Callithrix jacchus: one gene and its partners. The protein of the gene in region 3 purifies or fractionates together with the protein of the main gene of each other region. This does not show direct contact. Links are inferred from orthologs where the notes say so. Each region holds a gene or a part of one and is shown on either strand. Other genes may lie near its edges.

Evidence for each region.
Region 1: the proteins of RBM45 (region 3) and FAM120A purify together in Homo sapiens (co-immunoprecipitation; 3 studies listed by BioGRID and IntAct, with this or other methods). This does not show direct contact. The link is inferred for Callithrix jacchus from reciprocal best matches to the Homo sapiens genes RBM45 and FAM120A.
Region 2: the proteins of RBM45 (region 3) and KPNA1 purify together in Homo sapiens (co-immunoprecipitation; 3 studies listed by BioGRID and IntAct, with this or other methods). This does not show direct contact. The link is inferred for Callithrix jacchus from reciprocal best matches to the Homo sapiens genes RBM45 and KPNA1.

Annotation. Positions count from the first base shown.
Region 1 is NC_133502.1:71,098,591-71,106,505, forward strand, and holds the start of FAM120A (constitutive coactivator of PPAR-gamma-like protein 1), read left to right. Parts: upstream 1-3,577; 5' UTR 3,578-3,830; coding exon 3,831-4,304; intron 4,305-7,915. UniProt on the Homo sapiens protein: Component of the oxidative stress-induced survival signaling. May regulate the activation of SRC family protein kinases. May act as a scaffolding protein enabling SRC family protein kinases to phosphorylate and activate PI3-kinase.
Region 2 is NC_133516.1:80,573,551-80,580,984, reverse strand, and holds part of KPNA1 (importin subunit alpha-5), read right to left. Parts: intron 4,219-7,434; coding exon 4,087-4,218; intron 2,978-4,086; coding exon 2,889-2,977; intron 2,520-2,888; coding exon 2,420-2,519; intron 477-2,419; coding exon 313-476; intron 1-312. UniProt on the Homo sapiens protein: Functions in nuclear protein import as an adapter protein for nuclear receptor KPNB1. Binds specifically and directly to substrates containing either a simple or bipartite NLS motif.
Region 3 is NC_133507.1:51,304,220-51,311,653, reverse strand, and holds part of RBM45 (RNA-binding protein 45), read left to right. Parts: intron 1-4,140; coding exon 4,141-4,263; intron 4,264-5,923; coding exon 5,924-6,050; intron 6,051-7,434. UniProt on the Homo sapiens protein: RNA-binding protein with binding specificity for poly(C). May play an important role in neural development.

The DNA of each region.
Region 1 (7,915 bases), on a different chromosome or scaffold from region 3:
ATTTTGTCATGGTGCCCAGAGTCCAGATATTGATCTCCATGGAGCTTTCCTATCCTCTGCTAATCCTGATAGCAGCAGAGCCTGAAGACCAAAACACTTCTTAACTGCTGACACACTGCTGCGGTGTGGTCAGTTACTGACCTACCATTTATGAAGCAGGCCTACAGATGTAACTGTGTGTTCTTCTGGGTAATTTAAATTGACAATTAATTAACAGGTTAGGGCTGGTGCTAGGTAAACATTGTAGGTTCGAATCCCAAGTGTGGATTAATTTGCTGTCTTCCATAAGACTCCCTGCTTATCTCCAGCCTGCTGGTCTCCCAACATATGCTAATGATTACATGGGCAGGATTAAGGTCTCTTATTACCTTGTTGGAAAAACTGGAAACTCACCTGTTATTGCTGGTAGTTAGATACCTCAACTAAGTAACATATTAATTAAAGATATTAGGCTGGGCACGGTGGCTCATGCATGTAATCCCAGCATTTTGGGAGATCAAGGCAGGCGGATTACTTGAGGTCAGGAGTTTGAGACCAGCCTGCCCAATATGGTGAAACCCAGTCTCTACTAAAAACACAAAACTCAGCCAGATATGGTGGTGTGCACCTGCAATCCCAGCTACTCTGGAGGCTGAGGCAGGAGAATCACTTGAACCTGGGAGAGGGAGCTTGCAGTGAGCTGAGATCGCACCACTGCACTCCAGCCTGGGCAACAGAGCAAGACTTCTCTTGAAGAGAAAAATAAAATAAATGCAAAAGAAAAAAGAAAAAGAAAGTCCCCAACCATCAGTTGTCATATTGTGACCCCCAAGAAGATGTAACTTTTTATTAAATTTTAAATACAGATGTTTATTTTTACCTCAATATTTAAGCAATTTAACTTCAACCAACCCCTTAATTTGAGTTACGGATGCAGAGTATATAAATGTTTGTCAAACATTTTGCCTGCCATCAATAGTTACTCAATAAATAGATATATTTTTAAAGAACACACAGCTAAATAGGGCAAGTAAAGATAATTGAGTTTTATGTGTTATGATACAATAATGAATTTTAAACTTTTCAAAAGTACAATAACTGGTCTAGGTTCTCAAGTGTTAAGTCTGTACAAATACAGTTTCTGGAACTAACTATATAAGCCAACATTTATTGAGCATTTGCTGTGTGGTAAGCACACAGATGACCTGATTTAATACTTATAATAACCTGGGATGTTAAGTACTATTAATATGTTGATTTTACAGATGATAAAATCCAAGGTTCAAATAGGGTAAACATTTTTGCAAGGGCACAGATTCATCATAAGATGGATTTTGGGGGCTTGACTCCAGAACTTTAGAACTCTATAATGTAATAAGGTGAAAACAAATTTATTTCCAGAATTCCAGATACTGGCACTAATGCATTTTTTTAAAATTATAAGCAAGAGTGTTTAAAGAAAAGGTAAACGCATGGAATGCAATGTTATAAATGAAAATATGAGTGATGGCCAAGCGCAGTGGCTCATGCCTGTAATCCCAGCACTTTGGGAGTTCAAGGAGGGCGGATCACCAGGTCAAAAGATCGAGATCATCCTGACCAACATGGTGAAACCCTGTCTCTACTAAAAAATACAAAAATCAGCCGGGCGTGGTGGTGCGCTCCTGCAGTCCCAGCTACTCCGGAGAGGCGAAGAATCACTTGAACCGGCAGGCGGAGGTTGCAGTGAGCCGAGATTTCGCCACTGCACTCCAGCCTGGTGTCAGAGCGAGACTCCATCTCAAAAAAAAAAAAAAAAAAAAAAAGAAAAGAAAATACGAGTAATTACAACTACTGCCCCTCACTTTGTGAACCTGCCTTGGGTTACAGAAGGAAATTTGGATATTTCTGGATTTTTGTCTTGCTTTTTAATGGCTAACTGTATTATTTCTTTTATTTTTGAGACGTAATCTCACTCTGTTGCCCATGCTAGAGTGCAGTGGCGACATCTAGGCTCACTGTAACCACCTCCTGGGTTCAAACAATTCTGCTTTAGCCTCCCGAGTAGCTGGGATTATAAACGCACACTACCACGCCCAGCTAATTTTTATGTTTTTAGTAGAGATGGGGTTTCACCATGTTGGCCAGGCTGGTCTCAAATGATCCACCAACCTTGGCCTCCCAAAGTGCTGGGATTACAGGCGTGAGCCACCGTGCCCAGCCTGTATTAATTCTAGATAACATGTCATGCCGGCTTTGTGATTAATTTTGTGTATAGGTGAGTGGCATAACTTGTCAGTCTGCTTTTAAATGTAACTTCTTAAAATATCAGCAGCATTTATGTGTATATGACACTGGCTTGCGTTTGAGGTGGATATCAGAAAAGAAAGCAGAAAAACCCAACTTGCCTTTTTCACCGGGAATATGGGGGCTTCTTTGGCCAAATCGTGTGCGTGCAGGATCCATGTGCTGGGCAGCGGGTCTCAGGGCCACAGCCTGTGGGCTGCATCCTGCTCTTCTACAGAGGCTTCTCCAGAAAAAGAACAGATGGAGAGGTGAAGATAAGTAAAAGCGGTATTTTAAAACTTTTAGAGTGCTGGGTTCTAAATTTATATTCTGAAAGACAATCTCTTTTTGAAAATGTTTTATGCAAGTCTAATATACATACAGTATCAACCTCGTTTTAGAAGCAATTACGACAGAACGTTGGAACAGAATTCACGTAATCGACCTCCTTCCAGAAGCTGCTACTAAATCAACAAGATTCAAATCCCTCTCCTTAAGAGGAGCAGCGCGAGCCACTGCAAAGACGCACGTTTCAGTCGGGCCATTCCGCAGTGGGAACTAAACCGAACGCAGGCTTTCCCACGCTTCAACAGACCTGTGATCTCAAGACAGTCTCTTCCGTGACGTGGAGGCACTTCGGACTACCTGTACCTTCAGACATTATGGTGTGTTTGGCCATGTCATTTGTCACAGGTGTAAAAATCACAACAATCGAGAGCCCGAAGCTGCTGGGATGAGCACCTGCGGCAGAATCGCGCTCCCGCGCTCCTTCCTGCTCTTTCCAAGAAGACAGGCGTGGCCGTCCAGCATCCCGCTCCCCCGGACCCCGCAGTCCTTGTCGGCAGGAGGCCCGGAGTGGTGCGAGCCGAAGGTGGCGTTAGAAAGGCGGCGTCCCGACCAGCAGAGTGACTCGGCCTCCGGCTCCCCCTCAAAGCGCCATCTTGTCGCCGCTTCCCTCAGGAGAAGACGAGCTCTTCCCTGGGACCTGCTTCGCGGCTTCCCTTTGCCCGAGTAACACCGGGCGGGGGCGGCGGCCTCTCTGGCCCTGCCGGCGACAGAGCGCAGGGAGGGGAGCGGCGGCAGACTGGCCTGAGGCCGGCGGGCGGGCGGCCTGTAGCCTCCAGGCGCGGCCTGCTGCGGCCCAGGCGCCTCCTCGATCCCGCCCCTGCCCGGCTCCGGACCTCCGCCTCTGCCGCCACCGCCTCCGGGAGCCCGGAGCCGCGTCCCGCCGGCGCCGCCTCTTCCGCCTGCTTGCCGGCGGGCCTGCGCGGGTCTGGGCGGCGTCCGCGCCGGGCGGGTCCGCTACGTCAGCGCCGCCCGCCCGCCCCGCCCCGGCCCTCAGCCTCGGCCTCGGCCTCGGCCTCGCAGCGGCGGCAGCGGCGGCGGCGGCAGATCCCTCCCCAGACATGGCCCTGGGAGGCGGCAGCACATGGCGGCCGCGGCGGCCATGAGCGCGCCCCCGACCCGCCCCAGTCCCCCCTAGAGGCCGCCGCCCCCGCCCGCCCGCCCGCCCGCGCGCCACGGCCCCACCGCCCCCGGCCCCGCCGCCCCCCGCCCGCACCCGCGCCCGCGCCCCCGCCGCCGCCATGGGCGTGCAGGGCTTCCAGGACTACATCGAGAAGCACTGCCCGAGCGCTGTGGTGCCGGTGGAGCTGCAGAAGCTGGCCCGGGGCAGCCTGGTGGGCGGCGGGCGGCAGCGGCCCCCGCAGACCCCGCTGCGCCTGCTGGTGGACGCCGACAACTGCCTGCACCGCCTCTACGGCGGCTTCTACACCGACTGGGTCAGCGGCGGCCAGTGGAACCACATGCTCGGCTACCTGGCGGCGCTGGCCAAGGCCTGCTTCGGCGGCAACATCGAGCTCTTCGTCTTCTTCAACGGCGCGCTCGAGAAGGCCCGGCTGCACGAGTGGGTCAAGCGGCAGGGCAACGAGCGCCAAACGGCGCAGCAGATCGTCAGCCATGTCCAGAACAAGGGCACCCCGCCGCCCAAGGTCTGGTTCCTGCCGCCCGTCTGCATGGCCCACTGCATCCGCCTGGCGCTCATCCGCTTCCACGTCAAGGTGAGGCTGGGGATCCGGGCGGGCCGGGGACCGGGGGCCGCGCCGCACCCTTATCCCCTTTCCCAGGGCGCAGAATGTCGCCCGGCCGTGGCGGCGCGGGGGGCGGCGAGCTCCCCCAGCCCTGGCTCTGGATAGCCGGGCCGGGCCGGGCCGCGCCGCAAGATGGATGGCCGCGGGTGCAGGCCGCGCGCTGCCCAAGCCCGCCTCCAGCTGTCCCTGTTCGGGGTCCACGGCAGCGTGGGGACACTTGAGGGCTGGAAGAGAGCCGCCCGGGACCAGAATTCGGAGGCAGCAGTGTCATCTTCCCCAATATCCGTAGTTTTTCCCGTCCTTTTTGAGGCGGGCAGGCTATCACTCACCTTTAACTTTGACAAAATACTCCCTTTTCTAATTTAGCCTGTTCTTTCCCAGCAACAGGTTCATCTTGGAAGCAGGCAGGATACAGAGTAATAGAGGGGGTTTCGCCGGGGCCCTTGGGGGCTGCAAGTATCAGTGCTGCCGCCGCCGCCCTTGCCAATGTTGTTAGCCCGGTGACAGCGAGACGTGTCTAAGGGCTAGTGCCCTGCCCGTATTCCTCTTAGAACGAGGTGTTTAGAGATCTTTCTATGGCTTTTTGTGTTAAGATTTCAAAGAACCGTGCACTTTGACAGGATGGGATTTTGTCAGTTCTGTGACTTCAAGTCCGTGTGAAAGAGGTCTTTAAGGCAGTTCAGTTTTGTAGATCCCATGCGAAAGGAGTCGCTCAAAGTCAGGGGCCGAGCCACGCGGGCGTGAACTCGCAGGATTTATTTTTCGGGTGCACAGTAAGTATTCAGTGACCTTCAGCGGCGCCCTGACGGGTGGGTAACCAGAGCTCTACATCACCGGCCTCCTCTGGCCCTTTGGCAGAGGGCTCCGCAGCTGGCACTGGGCCAAAGGAGAACTTCAGGACCCAGCAGTGACTGTGAAGATAAGTACATACATGATCCTGGACTTCACGTTGTGATTGCTTGCTTTTTTCATTGATTTTCTTGAAAACAAAATTTGGGGAGGCTTTTTGCTGCCTTAGCTCTTGCCATTCTATCTTCCATCTTGTTATTCTTTGACATTTCCTTGAAACTGCTGGAGCTGAAAATTTGTGAAATTCCGTCTTCGCGGTTGCCCCCACTGCCCCGCGACGAGATGGTGGTAGTTAAGCCTAAAATGATAGCGGAAGTCCCACCCAAGATCTGGTTGCAATTGGTGAGATGGTGTTTAAGCCGTGGGTGGAGGCGGCCGGCAGAGTCCCGATTGGCCCCTGCGCCTGGCAGACACACAGCTGCCAGTCCACAGGGAAGTTCGTGTGAGAGGAAGTGCCTGCCTCTTAAATCTGGGGCGCTCAGGGAAGTAAGGTGCTGCCATTTGTCGGAAGTGATCCACCTCCCGAATAGAGCGTAAAAGTGTTCATAGTTTAGTCTTGCTCAGAAATGGAAAAGACTGCTTAAAAGACAGGATGAGCTGTACTTACTTGCCTTTGATAACCGCACATCTATCTACTTAACTAGTCAAGTAACTTTCAAGGGAACACTGTTGACTATTACTTAGGATTAGAATTAGTATGTATGCATATGGTCACTGTATCGTGAAAGAACTGTTTTAATTCTATGATTTCTTTATCTCTGCACCCCTTTGAATGCCTTACACACCTAGTAGGTGCTCAGAATTCTGACCAATGTGTAACTGTTTGGAAACTAGATTTAAGCTACATTTAAGATCATCTTTTCCACTTAGGTTTCTGGACACTGGATAACTTTGTCTATATTTTGCTTTTGCTAAGCTTTTATTTATTGATCTAACATCATGTTATAGTGTGCATTGCACAAAATGAATATTGTAATGACTCAATTACCTGGTGGTTTCTTAGCTGGTCACCTTACCTTTTTGAAAAGTGCCTAAGAGATTTAGCTACTAGAAATTTCTCAGTAACCAAACAAGATGTCAGGAAGTTTGGGTACAATGATGTGGGGTTGGCGGGGGCGGGGGGTTTGGGGGCCTTTGCTTTCCCCACTGAAGAATCCTTTACGCTCTCTCACTCACGGGCTGTCCTCTTTTTAGATGTAATTCTAACAAGCTTAGTTATCTATTTTCTAAACTCAACTTGAGAAGAGAGTGAAGAGTGTTCCAGAGGCAGGAGCACCGTTAATAGCAAGAAGTGACAAGAGAGAAGATTTAAAAAGCTATAAAAAGCAGAAATAATTCTGGGGCTATTTTAGGAAAAGGAACACAACTCTATGTACTTCACTAGTCCCTGAGGGTAGTACAGTGTTTGTTCTGTAAGGATGATTTTGAGTCAGAAAAATTTATATTCAGCATTATCTGTTTAAGGTCTTGAAACTGTACTGTTTAATAAAAGATGCCCATGAAATGGTTAAAACATTTAAAACCATGATGAGGTATCACTGTGGGCCTCTTAGAATGGCTAAAAGAAAAAAAAAAGCAAAACCAAGTGCTAGCAAGAATGCTGAGCAACTGGATCCTTACACATTGCTTGTGGGAATGCAAAATGGCATTGCCACTCCAGAAAACTGTCAGTTAAGTTAAACACATTTATCATACGATCCGGGGTATTTTGAAGACTTTTGTTCATGCAAAAATTGGGTCTCAATGTCTATAGCAACTTAATTCATAATAGCCAAAACCTAGAAACTATCAAAGTATTCTTTAATAAGTGAATGGTTAAACTATGGTATAGCCATACTATGGAATACTACTTAGCAATAATAAGGAAGGAACTGCTGGTGTAGGTAACTACTCGCATCAATCTTTAATTAAGGTTTTATGCTGAGTGAAAGAAACCAGGTTCAAAAGGTATAAAACTATAGTGATGGGGACCAATTCAGTGGTGGTGAGAGTAGAGGAGGGGAAGGATATATGCATAAAGGGACAGCAGAGAGAGCTTTTTGGAGTGATAGTACTGTTCTGTATTCTGATGGTGGTGATGATACCATACATAAAAATCAAAACTATTCATAGAAACACGTTAATTTTATCATATGATAACTTTTTTTAGAATTAAGTTAAAATCACTGGCAAAGGAATTGACATGAACACTTCAGTATATGTAACATTGGGTAAATGAGACATTTATAAAAACTGAACGATCTTATTGGTGCTTTCTAGTGTTTTGTACATTGGCAGAAAGGCATAACTTCCTGTTACCCTTGCCTAGAAAAATCTTTTTTTTTTTTTTTTGATGTGGAATCTTGCTGTCACCTGGCTGGAGTGCAGTGGCTGGCACAACCTTGGCTCACTGCAGCCTTCACCTCCCCGGTTCAAGCAATTCTCCTGCTTCAGTCTCCCATTGAGATTACAGATGGGTGCCACCATGCCTGGCTAATTTTGGTATTTTTAGTAGAGACAGGGTTTCACCATGTTGGCCAGGCTGGTCTGGAACTCCTAACCTCGTGATCCACCTGCCTTGGCTTCCCAAAGTGCTGGGGTTACAGGTGTGAGCCACTGTGCCTGGCCAGGAGAAATTTTTTTTTGATTTAGAGAGTATTTCTTTTACAGAGTAATAATTCTATTTTTTGTTTAGTAGTAGTAATGGTATTTCTTTAAGCATTAGAAGTTGGTCTACATGGTAAGAGAGCCAG
Region 2 (7,434 bases), on a different chromosome or scaffold from region 3:
TTGGCAGTGTATCTTCTGATGTCCAGTGGTTGATCTCGGGTCATCCAGTATGAGACTGTAACTACACAGATCAGAGTTTTCCAAATATTTCTGCTAAAGGCCTGCTAACAGCAGAGGAGTAAGAGGTTCTCTATAAGCCTCAATAAAACAAGACAAACAGATCTGCCATCAACATAAACAAGTAACAAAAAATAGTAGCCCAAAGCACAATAAACCAATATAATATACAATCAATTAATATTTAAGTATTAGTAGCTAGAAAACTAGTACCAAGGGAAAAAAAGTGAACACACTTTCTAAAACATATCTTACATCAGCAGCTCCACAAGTCTCCTACATACTCCCGCATCAATGACTGCTTGAATTTTATCATTGGGTCCATCTGATAGATATGAGAGGGCCCAGCAGGCATCAGCCAGTACATCAGTGTCACTGACAAACAGCAACCAGGAAAGCACATTCAGACATGGGGAAACCTATAAAAGGAAAATGATGATTATGAAATCCAACAGACTAGAAGCCAGAAGTGAGGTGAGATACTCAAGAAGGCAGCCAGGCATAAATTTGGTGACTTCTTGAGTGATTTACACTTCTCAAGAAACAACAAGTACCTAAGTGGCAGTTCCATCTTTAACAATGCTGTCAGTGGTCTTGCACTAATTTGTAGTCAGAGCCCAAGGAAATTAATTTCAGATCATAAAGTTTTATATACATCAATTCTTGGAGTGAGATTCCTTGTCAAAACACATTCTTTGTGGACTAAAGAGGTAAAGAAACTTTCAAAAATGTGAAAGCTAAGAAATTCTGTATTTTAGATACTTTAGACCAAAAATGCTAGGGTTTTAAGATGAATTCAGTGAAAAATGATTCCAAATTAAAAACAACTACCAAAAAAAAATCCTGTTTCTTCTAATATGCAAAATATACAAGAAACTCAAATCAGCAAGAAAAAAACAATCCCATCAAAAAGTGGGCTAAGGACACAGACGATTCTCTAAAGAAGATATACAAATAGCCAAAAACCATTTAAAAATGCTCATCGCTCATCACTAATTATCAGGGAAATGCAAATTGAAACCACAATGTTATACCATCTTACTCCTGCAAGAATTGCTATAATCAAAAAATCAAAACAGGCGGGATGTGGTGGCTCATGCCTGTAATCCCAGCACTTTGGGAGGCTGAGGTGGGTGGATCACCTGAGGTCAGGAGTTCAAGACCAGCCTGGCCAGCATGGTGAAACCCCATCTCTACTAAAAATACAAAAATCAGCCGGGCATGGTGGTGTGTGCCCATCATCCCAGCTACTCAGGAGGCTGAGGCAGGAGAATCGCCTGATCCTGGGAGGTGGAGGTTGCAGTGTGCTGCACAACTGCACTCCAGCCTGGGCAACAAGAGCGAAACCCTGTCTCAAAAAAACAAAAACACGATAAATGTTGGCATGGATGTGGTGAAAAGGGGAATGTAAATTAGTATAACCACTATGGAAAATAGTACAGAGATTCCTTAAAGAACTGAAAGTAGATCTGCCATTTGATCCAGCAATTCCACTGCTACAAACGTGCACAGATACTTGCACACGCATATTTACAGCAGCACAATTCACAATTGCAAAATTATGGAAACAGCCCAAATGCCCATCAATCAACAAGTAGATAAAGAAACTGTGATATATATACCATAGAATACTGCTCAGCCATAAACAGAAACAAAACAACGGCATTTGCAGCAACCTGGATGGAACTGGAGACCATTATTCTAAGTAAAGTAACTCAGGAATGGAAAACCAAACATCAGATGTTCTCATTCATAAGTGGGATGTAAGCTATGAGGGCACAAAAGCATGAGATTGATACAATAAACTTTGGGGATTCTGGGGTAAAGGATGAGAGGTAGGTGAGAAATACAAGACTAGACAGTGGGTACTCTGTACACTGCTTGGGTGATGGGTGCACCAAAATCTCAAAAATCACCACTAAACAACTTACTCATGTACCCAAACACCTGATCTGTTCCCCTAAAACCTACTGCAAAAAAAAAAAAAAAAAAAAAATCTCATGGACTCCCAGACTATACTTTGAGAACCACTGTTTTAGGAGAACTGAAGAGTCTCTTAATACAGTATACTAATTGTATGAAGTCTCATTTCAATGAGCTTTACAAATTCTCCCTTTATGCTATGCTTTTATTTATTTGCAGCCCCTACATAAATGTGCATCTTCAAGCTATGCTTTAAATTTGCTTTTCAAATAATAAAGGGAACCAAAAAAAAAAACAAAAACCCTGTTTCTCCAAAAACAGATAAAATTCTAACATTTTAAGTTTTAACAAAAATTATCTTTCTGTTCACCTTACTATTGGTTGCTATACTCTTATAATTGCATTTTTTCTGCCAATGTCCCAAAAGCACAGTCCTTACCTTTGCAAATTCTGGAGGTGGACTTTTCCCTCTACAGAGGTTAGACAAAGCCCATACTGCATTCCGGGTCATGGTCAGGCGGTTTTGCTTTGAAAATAACCTATAAGCATGATGGTACAATGGTAAACTATATAATAGACATTGATTCTCTGAAAACATAATATAAATACTAAGTAATAGTACTTTTGATAAAGAGATGTCTTCAGATAGCTTTTCCCCAGAACATTAAAACTTCATTAATTCTGATACAAGTAATTCAGAATTTTGACATGAGAGAAAGATAGAGTGCTTAAGGGAATGATCTTTTTTTCCCCTCGTTTTTTCCTTTTTTCTGAGGAAATGATCTAAACAAGAAAATGTCTGGAATGAAAAATAACAACAGAAAATCCAAAATGATTTCCAGAGATGCACTGCTTTCTGAGGAATCTCTTATGTTTTTATTGTCAAAAAGGAAGAAGAAGAAACTTACTGCAAAAGAGGGGGAAGGATATTGCAGTCTAAGACATAGTCCCTGCACATGGTACTATCTCCAGCAATGTTGCCAAGAGCCCAGACTGCCTGTGAAAGAATCATTAATAAAAGTTATGTACTCCCTTCTAATTCTTTCAGATGCCAGTATATCACAGTAACACATTCATCAGGGAGTCAAATGAAACAGTTGTGTGGTTGGAGGAAGAAGATAAATAATATTCTAAAGTGTATAATAAACTAAAGGTATTCAGTTTATTAAAGGAAAGAACCAATTTCTTTTCTTTTTTTTTTTTTTTTGGTGACGGAGTCTCGCTCTGTCACCCAGTATCGAGTAAAACACGGTGAAACCCCATCTTTACTAAAAATACAAAATTAGCCGGGTGTGGTGGCAGATGCCTGTAATCCCAGCTACTGAAGAGGCTGAGGCACAAGAATTGCTTAAACCTGAGAGACAGAGGTTGCAGTGAGCCAAGATCGTGCCACTGCACTCCAGCCTGGGTGACAGAGACTCCATTAAAAAAAAAAGGTATTTTTCTGGCTTACAAAATAAAACAGTGAAACAAACTATTTTCTGCACAAAAGTGATAAAAACTTACTACTTTCTTTTGAGCTAGGTCTCCTTCTGTTACCGAGGCTGGAGTGTGGTGCTGTGATCTCAGCTCACTGCAGCCTCTCTGCCTCCTGGAGCTCATTCAAGTGAACCTCCCACCTCAGTCTCCCAAGTAACTAGGACCACAGGTGTGCAACACCATGCCCACCTAATTTTTTTTTTCGGTGGAAATGAGGTTTCATCATTTTGCCCTGAGTGGTTGAGTTCCTGGGCTCAAGCAATCTGCCCACCTCAGCCTCCCAAGTGGTGGAATTACAGGTGTGAGCCACAGTGCCTGGCCTACTTTCAACACTGGAAATTTCTACAAGCAAAAACCTCTACTAGTAACTGCTTACAAGGTTTAGAAAGTACATACTCAGGGCTTAAAGAATGTCAGGTTTGGAAGGGGAAGATTATTTTATGTGTCTAAGAAAAATTCTGCCTACACTCACTAAGAAATTTTCTATTTGGTTAAGACTAGATTTCTAGAACACTCCTTTGTGACAATCCATAGATTATCAAAGCCAACTGGTAAAACTCAATCCCTGAATATGATTGAAGGGAAAAATGTTATTCTTTCACCTGCTTCTTTCTGTTTCATTTTTACCTGTTCCTGGACATCTTCAAACTCTGAGCTGAGCAACTCTATGAAGATGGGCACAGCTCCTGCCTGAATCACAATCCGGGTCTGTAGAGAATTTCCTGAAGCAATATTTGTCAGTACCCAAGCTGATTCAAACTACAAAGATAAAAATAATTTTCATTATCTTTTGAGAATGTAAAGCTTTTTTACTTATAACAGTAACTCTTTCTGAACATGTAAAAAAAGATTCTGAGATCATTATTTACACATAACCTATCAGTTGAGTACTATATTAATTTTAAAAGAATTTCCAGAAGAAACACCTCAACCTAGAAGAATATTCAGGGTGTCTGAAATTTCAGTTCAAGATAGAGTGGACATGACACCATAAAAAGAATGAGACAGTGTTACAAATGTTGATATGGAATGATCTGCAAAGATATAAACGAAAACAAAATGCAAACAGTGTACATTAATATGACATTATACCATATTTTCTTTCTTTTTTTTTTTTTTTTTGAGACGGAGTTTTGCTCTTGATACCCAGGCTGGAGTGCAATGGTACGATCTCAGCTCACCGCAACCTCTGCCACCTGGGTTCAGGCAATTCTCCTGCCTCAGCCTCCCGAATAGCTGGGATTACAGGCACACACCACCATGCCCAGCTAATTTTTTGTATTTTTAGTAGAGACGGGGTTTCACCATGTTGACCAGGATGGTCTCAATCTCTTGACCTCGTGATCCACCCGCCTCGGCCTCCCAAAGTGCTGGGATTACAGGTGTGAGCCACCGCACCCGGCCCCACATTTTCTAAAAGTATTACAAGGAATACATGCATTAACTTACTAATTGCACAGATTATCTCTAGAAGGAGTTATAGGAAACTAAATACTTGTTGGCTGCAGGGAAAGGTCATGATAACTAGGGAACAAGGATGAAAAAAACACTTATCAGTGGAAAGCCTTATGTGCCTTTTGGCCTGTACCATGCATGCTATCTAATAAAAAAAACTTTAAAACTTCTGTAGAATGGGCAAAGTAAAATGGGGAGAAAATGTTAGTGTAAAACATAATGTACAGGCACAGTGAGAAAAGCAAAAGGTATCAAATGTTAAGCAGGTCAAAGGAGTTAAGCATATAATGAAAAGAAATGACAACTTCAAAGCATAAGAGCTTCCCATAAATGAGAGAAATCCAAACCAAAGTACAGAGATAGGACTTTTTAAAAGAGCATTCTTAACAGGGATTGAAAAAAACGAAGGTAAATTGACCAAAGGTTGATATGCAGCATTACAGCACTGGTAAACAGAAGACATAAAGAAAATTATGACCAACAAAAAATAGAGCATACTACTCAAATATATCTCTAACACTAAATTGACTATTTAGACTAATATTCAGAAATCTGAGAATTAACTCTTTTCTATTTAGTTAAGAGTTTTTAATTACATTTCAGGTTGTTTCTTCCACCTTTCTGTCTTCTACTTAATACAGCACATACACAGAAAAAAAAAATCCATGGTATGTCCTTTAAATCAGAGAAAATAACAAGTCATAATTAAATGACCTGTGATTCCTCTAAGCTTTGAGATTAACTAAAAGGCAGCTGACAGGTAGAAAACTAAATTCATTAATCTTTGGGAATAGACAAAGTCAGAGGAAATGGGCAATCTGATCAAATCACATTCAAAGATATATAACGATAGAAAATTAACAGCAGAAGAAACATAATAAATGGATGTTCCAAAGAAAACTATTAAAGTGACATAATGATTGAGGTAAGGTGGTTTAGTAGTAGCAGGGGGGCCCAGATGAGAAGCACTTCTGTTAAAGAGCCCACATCTGGTCGCTTTTTGTTATGACATAAATTCTGAATTTTCAGATTAAACCCCAAATATCATGAAATAAAAACTCTTCACATATTCATCTCTATAATTAAATTCCTAATGAAAGCAACACTCAGACTGTTTCAGTACGCCTAAATTACAACTTGACATCTGTACCATACTTTATATACTCAAGGCACTATTCACATACTCGCAGATGATCCCTACAACAACCCAGAGAGGTAAGGTATCTGGCTTTTCTCGTGTACAAATGAGGAAACTATCCGAAAAAAATCCAACAATTTAATGATTCAAGTAATGTTACACAGGTAAGGAGAACGGCTAAGTTCCAGCCACTCAATCTAATACATTATGAAGCCCAGTCATAGTTTCCTCTCTAATACGTAATGCTGGCACAGAAATATTTCAATTGCTTGTAGTTTGGATATCTAGTGCAAGAAATTTTAAATAACAGTATGCCAGATTATTTATACTAAAAAAGAAAAAACAAGTTCACCTAAAATGTAGTTTTCTTTTGACGACAAGGAAAATTAATTTGTAAACCAGAGTCATATGATGTAAGTATAAAATCAAACTGTCCCACCACAAGGCAGGCTGAAAGTTGAATAAACACAACAGATACGCAAATATCAAGTCAAAGAAATGAAAACTGTAAGGAAAAGTAACCTGAAAAAAATAAGATCAGCATACATGCCATCTATAACAAAGAAAAAGAGGATTATAGTGAGATTTTGATGCAAAAGAAATTATAATAACCTAGGTACATAGGAATATAGTACAGAGTTATTGGTGAGAAAAAATTACTTAGAATACTAATTGGTGCCAGCGTTCAAACTGCTATTTTGAGTTTAGCACCAAAGTCTCAGGGGAAATGAGGGAGAATTCAAGAAGCTACGCAAATTAATAAAACAGAAAAGCAAAACAATTTGAGTGATAATAACTAAGAAAATGAAAAACAAGTGAATAGCCTAAATACAGACGGTAAAAAAGAGAGAGAGAAATTGGAACATCTTAACAAAAGAATAACATGCCGGTTATGTTCATCACTAAGTAGTACACAATGATAACCTCTGAGTGCAAAGGTGATTCAGGAATGAAAATCAAAAACAGTTTTGCTATTACTGGGTACAGAAAGAGATGAATAACTATAACCAGAAAGCCACTGAAAATATTCATGCATTAATAAGGCAATATAAACACATACACAGGGTGCTGATTACTGGGCTGTTTTCATTTTGTGAAAGCTAATCAAGCTGTATTTGTGAAATTTTCTACACCCATCTACACATGTATGATATGCATATATGTTTATGCGTGTATCCATATATGCATGAGAGGGGGGAGTAAAAAACAGAATTTCCCTGAGTATAGGCCTCTGTTAATGATAGAAGAAGTAACTGTTAAACATATTTATGTATATATATTTTTAAATTAGATGTTCTTTACATAACTTCTCTTTCATCATAGTCTGTACTTTAAAGCTGTATTCCAATAAAATTCGTCATCTATTTTTGTTTTTGTTTTTT
Region 3 (7,434 bases):
GATGCCCAGAATTTCCATATATGAAAAACAGAAAAACTCTACTTTTCCTCAAGTAGAGATGAGGCGTGACAACTTGACGAAAGTACTTTAAACTAGAGGCCTCTGGTGTTGGACGTTTTCCCAGTACCAGATGAAAGAATGCATGTATATAATACTTAAGTGCAGGTGTATAAAATGGCCACTTTACATATTCATCACATTTTGTGATTTTGAAAATTATTTTAAATGAGCTCTGTTTCTCAAAGTGTCAATAGTATGTATTTGGTTCTTGACTCTTTCTGTTACTCCAACTTTTCTTTGAAAGCAGACCAAAGGAAACTGCCTTAAGAAGTGCCAAATCGTTGACATAATGACACATGGCAGGAAGGGTCATTTTGAGGGTTGAGTTAATCTATGCTTTTAGCACACTGCCTCGCACACAGTAAGCCCTTGTTATTGATCGGTAGTAGCCAAGATGTCACTGCTTACTCTCTGTGACCTCAAATCAGGACTCAATCCTGAGAATCTGCCAATTGCTTAAATTGTACCCTTCATCTGCCCCATGTAAGTAGTTGCTGTGTATGTTATTCTGCTGGTACTTTGCACAAAAAAATATTTTCTCAATTAAAAAAAAATGTTTTCCAAATTGAGAATGGTATTAATATGGACTTATATATAAAAAAAAGGACTCAGAGATATTTCAGTCTCTGGAGGTCTTGCTCCATCCACAAAAGAGGAGCCTGGGAATATACCAACAACACAGTAAACAATCCCTCCCACTTCTCCACACTTCTACGAAGTGTGTCAGAATAGTACAGCAACAAAATTAATTGTAGGGCTCTAGCATACAGGATCAGGAGTTGGCAAACTTTTTCTGTAAAGGGCTGGCTAGTAAACATTTTAGGCTTTGTGGGCCACATACAGTCTCTGTCACATATTCTTCTCTGTTTTTATAGTTCTTAAAAACTGTAAAAACAGTTCTTTCATTGTGGGCTATACCAAAAATGGAGTTGTAGTTTGATGACCCCTGTACTAGACTGATGAATTTCATTGCTGTCCAATTATGACTTTAGTGGAGAGGGTTTTTATATTTTTAGTATAACATGGCCACTGACCAAAAAAGTGCCATATTTGAAACAGATGGACCACCTTCCCCTGATGAATATCTACAAGAGAAATTAAAGGCCCAACACTGAAATGTACCCTTTCTTTTCACCACAGAGAAATTAAAGTTCTTGTCCCCAAAAAGAATTAAACTTTACAATTTTGTTTTTCACGCTTTTGACTATTCCGTTTTAGCCAGAGTTTGTTTCGCTAGAGTGCAGTGGCTTGATCACAGTTCACTACAGCCTCCACCTTCCAGGCTCAGGCAGTCCTCTTACCTCAGCCACCCTCCTGAGTAGCTGGGACTGCAGACATGCACCACCATGCCCAGCTAATTTTTGTTTGTTTGTTTTAGATGGAGTTTCGCTCTTGTTGCCCAGGCTGGAGTGCAGTGGCGTGATCTCAGCTCATTGCAGCTTCCACCTCCCAGGTTCAAGCAATTCTCCAGCCTCAGGAGTAGCTGGGATTACAGGTGCCCACCACCATGACTAGCTAATTTTTGTATTTTTCATAGAGACAGGGTTTCACTGTGTTGGTCATCAGGCTGGTCTCGAACTCCTGACCTGAGGTGATCCACCTGCCTTGGCCTCCCAAAGTGCTGGGATTACAGGCGTGAGCCACAGTGCCTGGGCAATTTTTTAATTTTTTGTAGAGACAGGGTCTCACTTTGTTGCCTAGGCAGGTCTCAAGCTCCTGGACTCAAGTGATCCTCCCATTTTCAGCCTCCCGTTTCAGTTGTGACCCACCACACCCTGACAGCCTAGTTTCATTCAGTTGCTGCAGCTTGAACCATCTTCCACTGGAACACGGTTGTGTTGTTTTCAGCAGTTCCAGTTAAATTAATTCAGCTTCAATATTCTCATGTACTTTGCTTTGCAAAGTTACAAAGGATCTATAAGACAAGAATATTATCATACCAGGCCTTGTTGGGGAGAAACCCCACAAGAGCCAAGGCGAGAGTCTGAGACCTCAGTCTGTTCTCATATAAATATTGAATTAAAAAAGAATTAGCGATAGTTACATAGTTATTCCTATAATAATCACATAACTATTCACATGTAATCATAAATATATACATTTATACAATCATATAATCTTTAATTTTATTAGTAAGTCTCAGGTCATGAAGTATGGAACTGAAGTGGCATTGGGAAAGAAGTGACCCTGAGGCAAGATGCTCTAAGCCCTCCTTCACGCCCGCATAAGGGCTGCTGGAGGGCGCCTCGGCTATGCAGCAGCGCCAGCGCTGTGAAAGTGCCCACTGTTTAACCAGCTAGGGAAGGAGATGTCCAAAATGGCTGAGACATCTCCTTCCTCGGGGGAGTTAGGAGAAAACTCCGCTCTTCCAAGCCCTTGTGGTAGCCCTGGCAGCTATCAGGGAGGCCCCCGGTCATCCAGGGGCTTAATTGTCTCTATGTGATGCTGTGCTTCAGTGGTCACGTTCCATGTCTACTTTCATGTTCCGCTTCTGCACTTGGTTCCTCTCTTTAAGATAAGAATTAGTAATAGTAACATAAATGTTAACATCCCTGATATTCTTGACAAATATGAAAAAAGTTAGGTTTTCTCCTTGCCTCGGCTTCTTGAAAATCCTGAGCCCGTTTCCAGGACATGTGATTTACCTGACCCTATCACTGACCACCATTACCTCACCCTACCTATCCTGCCCCCTGCTTTGTACTCAATAAAAGTCAGAGTGTCCAGGCACTCGGGGCCACTGCCAGACTCTGTACTTTGGTTGGCAGTGGATGGCTGGGCCCAAACTCTCTTTTCTCTATCTCTGTGTCTTGTGTCTTTATTTTCACTGTTTCTCGTCCCCACATCTGTAGAGAGGGACTCACAGGACCCTATAAGTCCTCAGTCAGAAAATATTGTCCAAGTAAAAGTTATTCTGTGACTAGCTATGTTATCTGGTAGAAAGGGGGAAACCTAGAAAATAGAAGAAAAAGTTCTTGGCTTTAGTTTTTCAAGAATGATTCTTATCTAGAGCGTATGAACACCCATAGTCTATGAAAGTAAAAATTAACGGGAGAAATCTACCATGAGGAGGTTAATTATTTTACATATGTTCTACATATAGACTGACTCCTGTATCAGAGATTTGAAACATCTCAGTCCTCTGAAATTTAAAAATTTGTGCTCTGATGGCACTTCCAGTCTCATCTTACCTGAGGTTCTTTTTTTTTCTCTAGTGTCTTTGCATATACTTAAAGTTTCCCTATTTGTATTTCCCTATTTACCATTTATTACTGGTATCAGCTGCAAGACTTTCTAGTAGGCCATTTCTTGGTTACTGAATACTGTACTCATACAGTGCTTGACATAGTTTAGATTTATTGAAGGAATAACTAGAAGTAGACTATGTAGGGATATGTCTCTAAAGTTATGGTTTTCTTAGTTGCTGCCACCTACTCTGGAATTTCGTAGGTTCCAGTTTTCTCATGCTTGAATGATACAGAACCCCCTTTACCAGCAGTAGATCAGACAGCAAGATATAGAGCCCCCTTTAAAGGAAAAAGAAACAAACAACGGAAGGGCCCTTCTTTATGGTGTTTTAATTAATTGTATTTCATTTTTTCAAATTGCTCTAGCTAAAAAAAATGCAAAAGTAGAAATATGTTTGGGAAAAACACAATGCAGAGATTGGTATTATCTCATATAAAAAAGTCATTGCAGTCCCAGCGCAGTGGCTCACACCTATAATCCCAGCACTTTGGAAGGTCAGAGTGGGAGGATCACTTGAGCCCAGCAGTTCATGACCATCCTGGGCAACATAGCAAGACCTCATCTCTACAAATAATAAAAAATTAGCTGGGCATGGTGGGGTGTGCCTGTGGCCCTAGCTACTTGGGAGTCTGAGGTGGGAGGATTACTTGAGCCTAGATCATTGAGACTGCAGTGAGCCATGATCACACCACTACACTCCAGCCTAGGTGGCAGAGCAAGACCCCATCTCAAAACAAAAAAACACAAAACTCATTGCAATAAAAATTGCTTTTGAAAAAATTTAAGAAGTGGGAAAATAACATTATTTTTGGGGTTTTGTTTGTTTCTTAGGTTTTCATTGCTCAGTCCCGATCATCTGGAAGTCACCGAGATGTTGAAGACGAAGAACTTACAAGAATCTTTGTTATGATACCAAAGTCCTACACAGAAGAAGATCTGCGGGAAAAATTTAAGGTACTTATGTTTTCTAACCAGTTAGCATATGTGATAACTCACAGTCCTACATAGGTTGTGTTGGTACTAAATCTGAAGTGTTGTTTGAATAAGGTCAGTAGAGTAGTCATGGGGAATTACGTAACTTTTCATAATTTTCAATCTACTCTTTAAATATTAAACCTAGCATAAATTAGTTTTTAAAATTACAGATTATATAAAATCTGAAAAGTAGTAATTGTAGTCTTCCCCTGCTTTATTGTGACAGTAGAGAGTCACAGAAATGAAGTACAAAGCTCAAAGACTTTTAAGTAAAGTCACAGCTAGTAGGTGGTAGAGCTGTGATTTTAAACCCAGACTCTCGGAGTCTGGAGCCTGTTCTTGGTCTTTAAAATTTCAAAGCACTCTCTTATCACTCCCCTCTATTGCCTGGCATGTGGAGGTGAATCAGGCAGGCCTGAGTGTGTGAACTGTGTTGTCTAGTATTTGTAACAGGCCTATGGTGTGTTGATATGGTACTACTCATTCACAGAAAGTCTTGTTCTTTGAAGAATTTTCATCCTAAAATTGGTCCTTAGAAGGAGTTACATATAAAGAAGAAAACTAAGTACAGCTCTGACCTATATAAATGAAATTCAAAGATCATTTTAAGTCTTTTTAGCCATTAACTTATGCAATGATAAGCTTTCACAAGAATTATTAAAAAGCAATTTTTAAATTGTTTTGAGTTGTAGTTTTTCATCTTTTTTCTACTAGTCCTTCCATGAATTGGGTGGCAAAAAGCAAGAAAGAAAATAAGCAGTAAAAAGTAATTTTTGAACTTCCTCTGCTATCCCAATTGAGAATTCAGAAAAATACTTCAAAAATAACAAATACCAAAAATGTGTATTCATGCTTTCTCCAGTAATAAGAAAAATGTTTTTTACCTTAAATATTTATAAATGTTTATCGTTTCCTGAATGAACAAGTATGACACTTTAATGTATAGTAATTAAGTTGCTAATTAATTACTTAAGAATTTGTAAAATAAATATTAATGGTTTATATTTCATATTCATTTACATTAAAAGTAAACACTACTGCATGTTTCTCAGAATAGTAACTTTCTGAGTGAACCAGTGTATTTTAAAGATATCCTTTGAAAAGCTGTCCTTCTAAAGAATACACAATCATTTATGCTCCTGTTAGAAGACAGACAAGTAGTTATAGCTAATGTTCTTTGAGTGTTTAGTATGTTTTAAGCCCCATGTAAGCACTTCACATATTTTACTTCAGTTAACCCTTAAACAACCCTGTGAGGTGGATACTACTGTTTGTTTCTTTTAATAGATAAAGAGGTAGGTACAGAGAGAATAAATAAACTGCCTAATTAATAAGAGGGTGATCCAGAATTTCAATCTAGAAAGTTTAATTCCAGAGCTCTGGCTCTTAACCACTTTTGAGCAAGATTTTGGAGGTATCTGGACCATGTACAGATTCTTACTTTTTTTTCTGTGGCTTTGTCCCTCTGATTTCTCTAAACCCCAGCTTCCTCATCTCTGAAATAAGCAGTATAAAATATGCAGATATTTTATACTGCTTACTTCTTTGCATGCAAGGGTCACATACAAATTTTTGGTTCAGTAGTACTCTGTTCAATTAATTTCAAGTCCCCTAAGATAATGTCTTTTAACTCTCTTAGGTGTATGGAGATATCGAGTATTGCAGCATTATTAAGAATAAAGTCACTGGAGAAAGTAAAGGTTTGGGCTACGTACGATACTTAAAACCATCACAAGCTGCCCAAGCAATAGAAAACTGTGATCGAAGTAAGGATGTGTTTGTTTAACATTCTTAAAAACTTCTGTAAAAAATTCTGATTATTCTAAATAACTGAATTTAATACTGGTTTTTGCTAATAACCAGATCTGGTAATGTAATTTTAGTAGTAGGTATTTGAATACATGCAGTCCAAGGATGAAAAATACCTTGGGGCTATGATTAAACATTCATTGAGGCACTACCTTGAAATAAGAGCAACTACTTTAAGTTAGTGAAATGTATACTTTGGTTATTATTTGCAGAGGATTTGGGGTTTTTTTCATGTATTTTAGAATTTTAAGTATTAAAAATTGACTTACCTTTTCAGGGTTTTTAAAATATCTTTATATTTGTTTATATTTGATCTACACCCCAAAGAGTATACAGTATAACTAATAAACATATAGGTTAAAAATAAGATTTATAAGACGTGCTAACATAAGTAATTAATATAGCTAGGGTTAATTTCAAGCTAGTGTGACATGAATTTGATCTTCTGATGTTGCTGTATATATAAAGCATAAGAATTTTAAAGAAGTCATGGAGAACATTCTTTCTTGGTATACTTCTAGTTAAGTATATTGACCTTTAGAAATTAGATGTGGAATAATTAAATTACAGGATGTTAGGACATTATAAAAATCTATGTGTACTGGAAAGAATTACTGTTAATCAGTAGAATTCTTAGATATCCCTAAGGTACATACCAAAATTTTCTCTTAGATCCTTCTAAATTCTCATTTAGCTAGTACTAATTGAGTACCTGTGGTATACTCATCAGTATGCTAAGTGGAGGGATACAGATGAAGTATATGGCAGCCTTAGCATTTAAGGAATTTATAGCTATATTGAGTAGCCAAGATCTAATAGGCAAAAAAACAAATAAGGAATAATGGAAGAACTTTTTTTTGAAGGCTCTTTGAAAGCAAGAAGTATGTCTTTTTTGTCTGTCACTCCAAGTATCTAGTACAATATTAGGCCCTCAATAAAGATTTATTAAGCTCTCTATAAAAGTAACTGCCATTTGTAGTAGACTCAATAAGAATTTGCCAAATGAAAAAATGTTTGTAAGTATATGGTAGAGTCTATCAATGGTGAAAAACAAATGTGCTGGATGAGCATGGGAACACATGCGGAGAGGGTAGGACTTATGTCTGGTGTTGAGTAGGCAGGACAGAAGATGACAGCAGTGCTAGCAGAGGCACAAAGCCAGGAGTAAACATGTCTTGCTTAGTGCCATGAAGGCAGCTGTCTGAGTAAAGCACAGTATTTCTGTTGAGACATTTTGAGACACAGTTAACTAGGTACATTGGAACCATATATGGGAGGTTAAGGAAAGTTCAAGGTTAGTCCAGTTTAGGATTCTTTTGTAGATTGTTTAGAATGATTAAA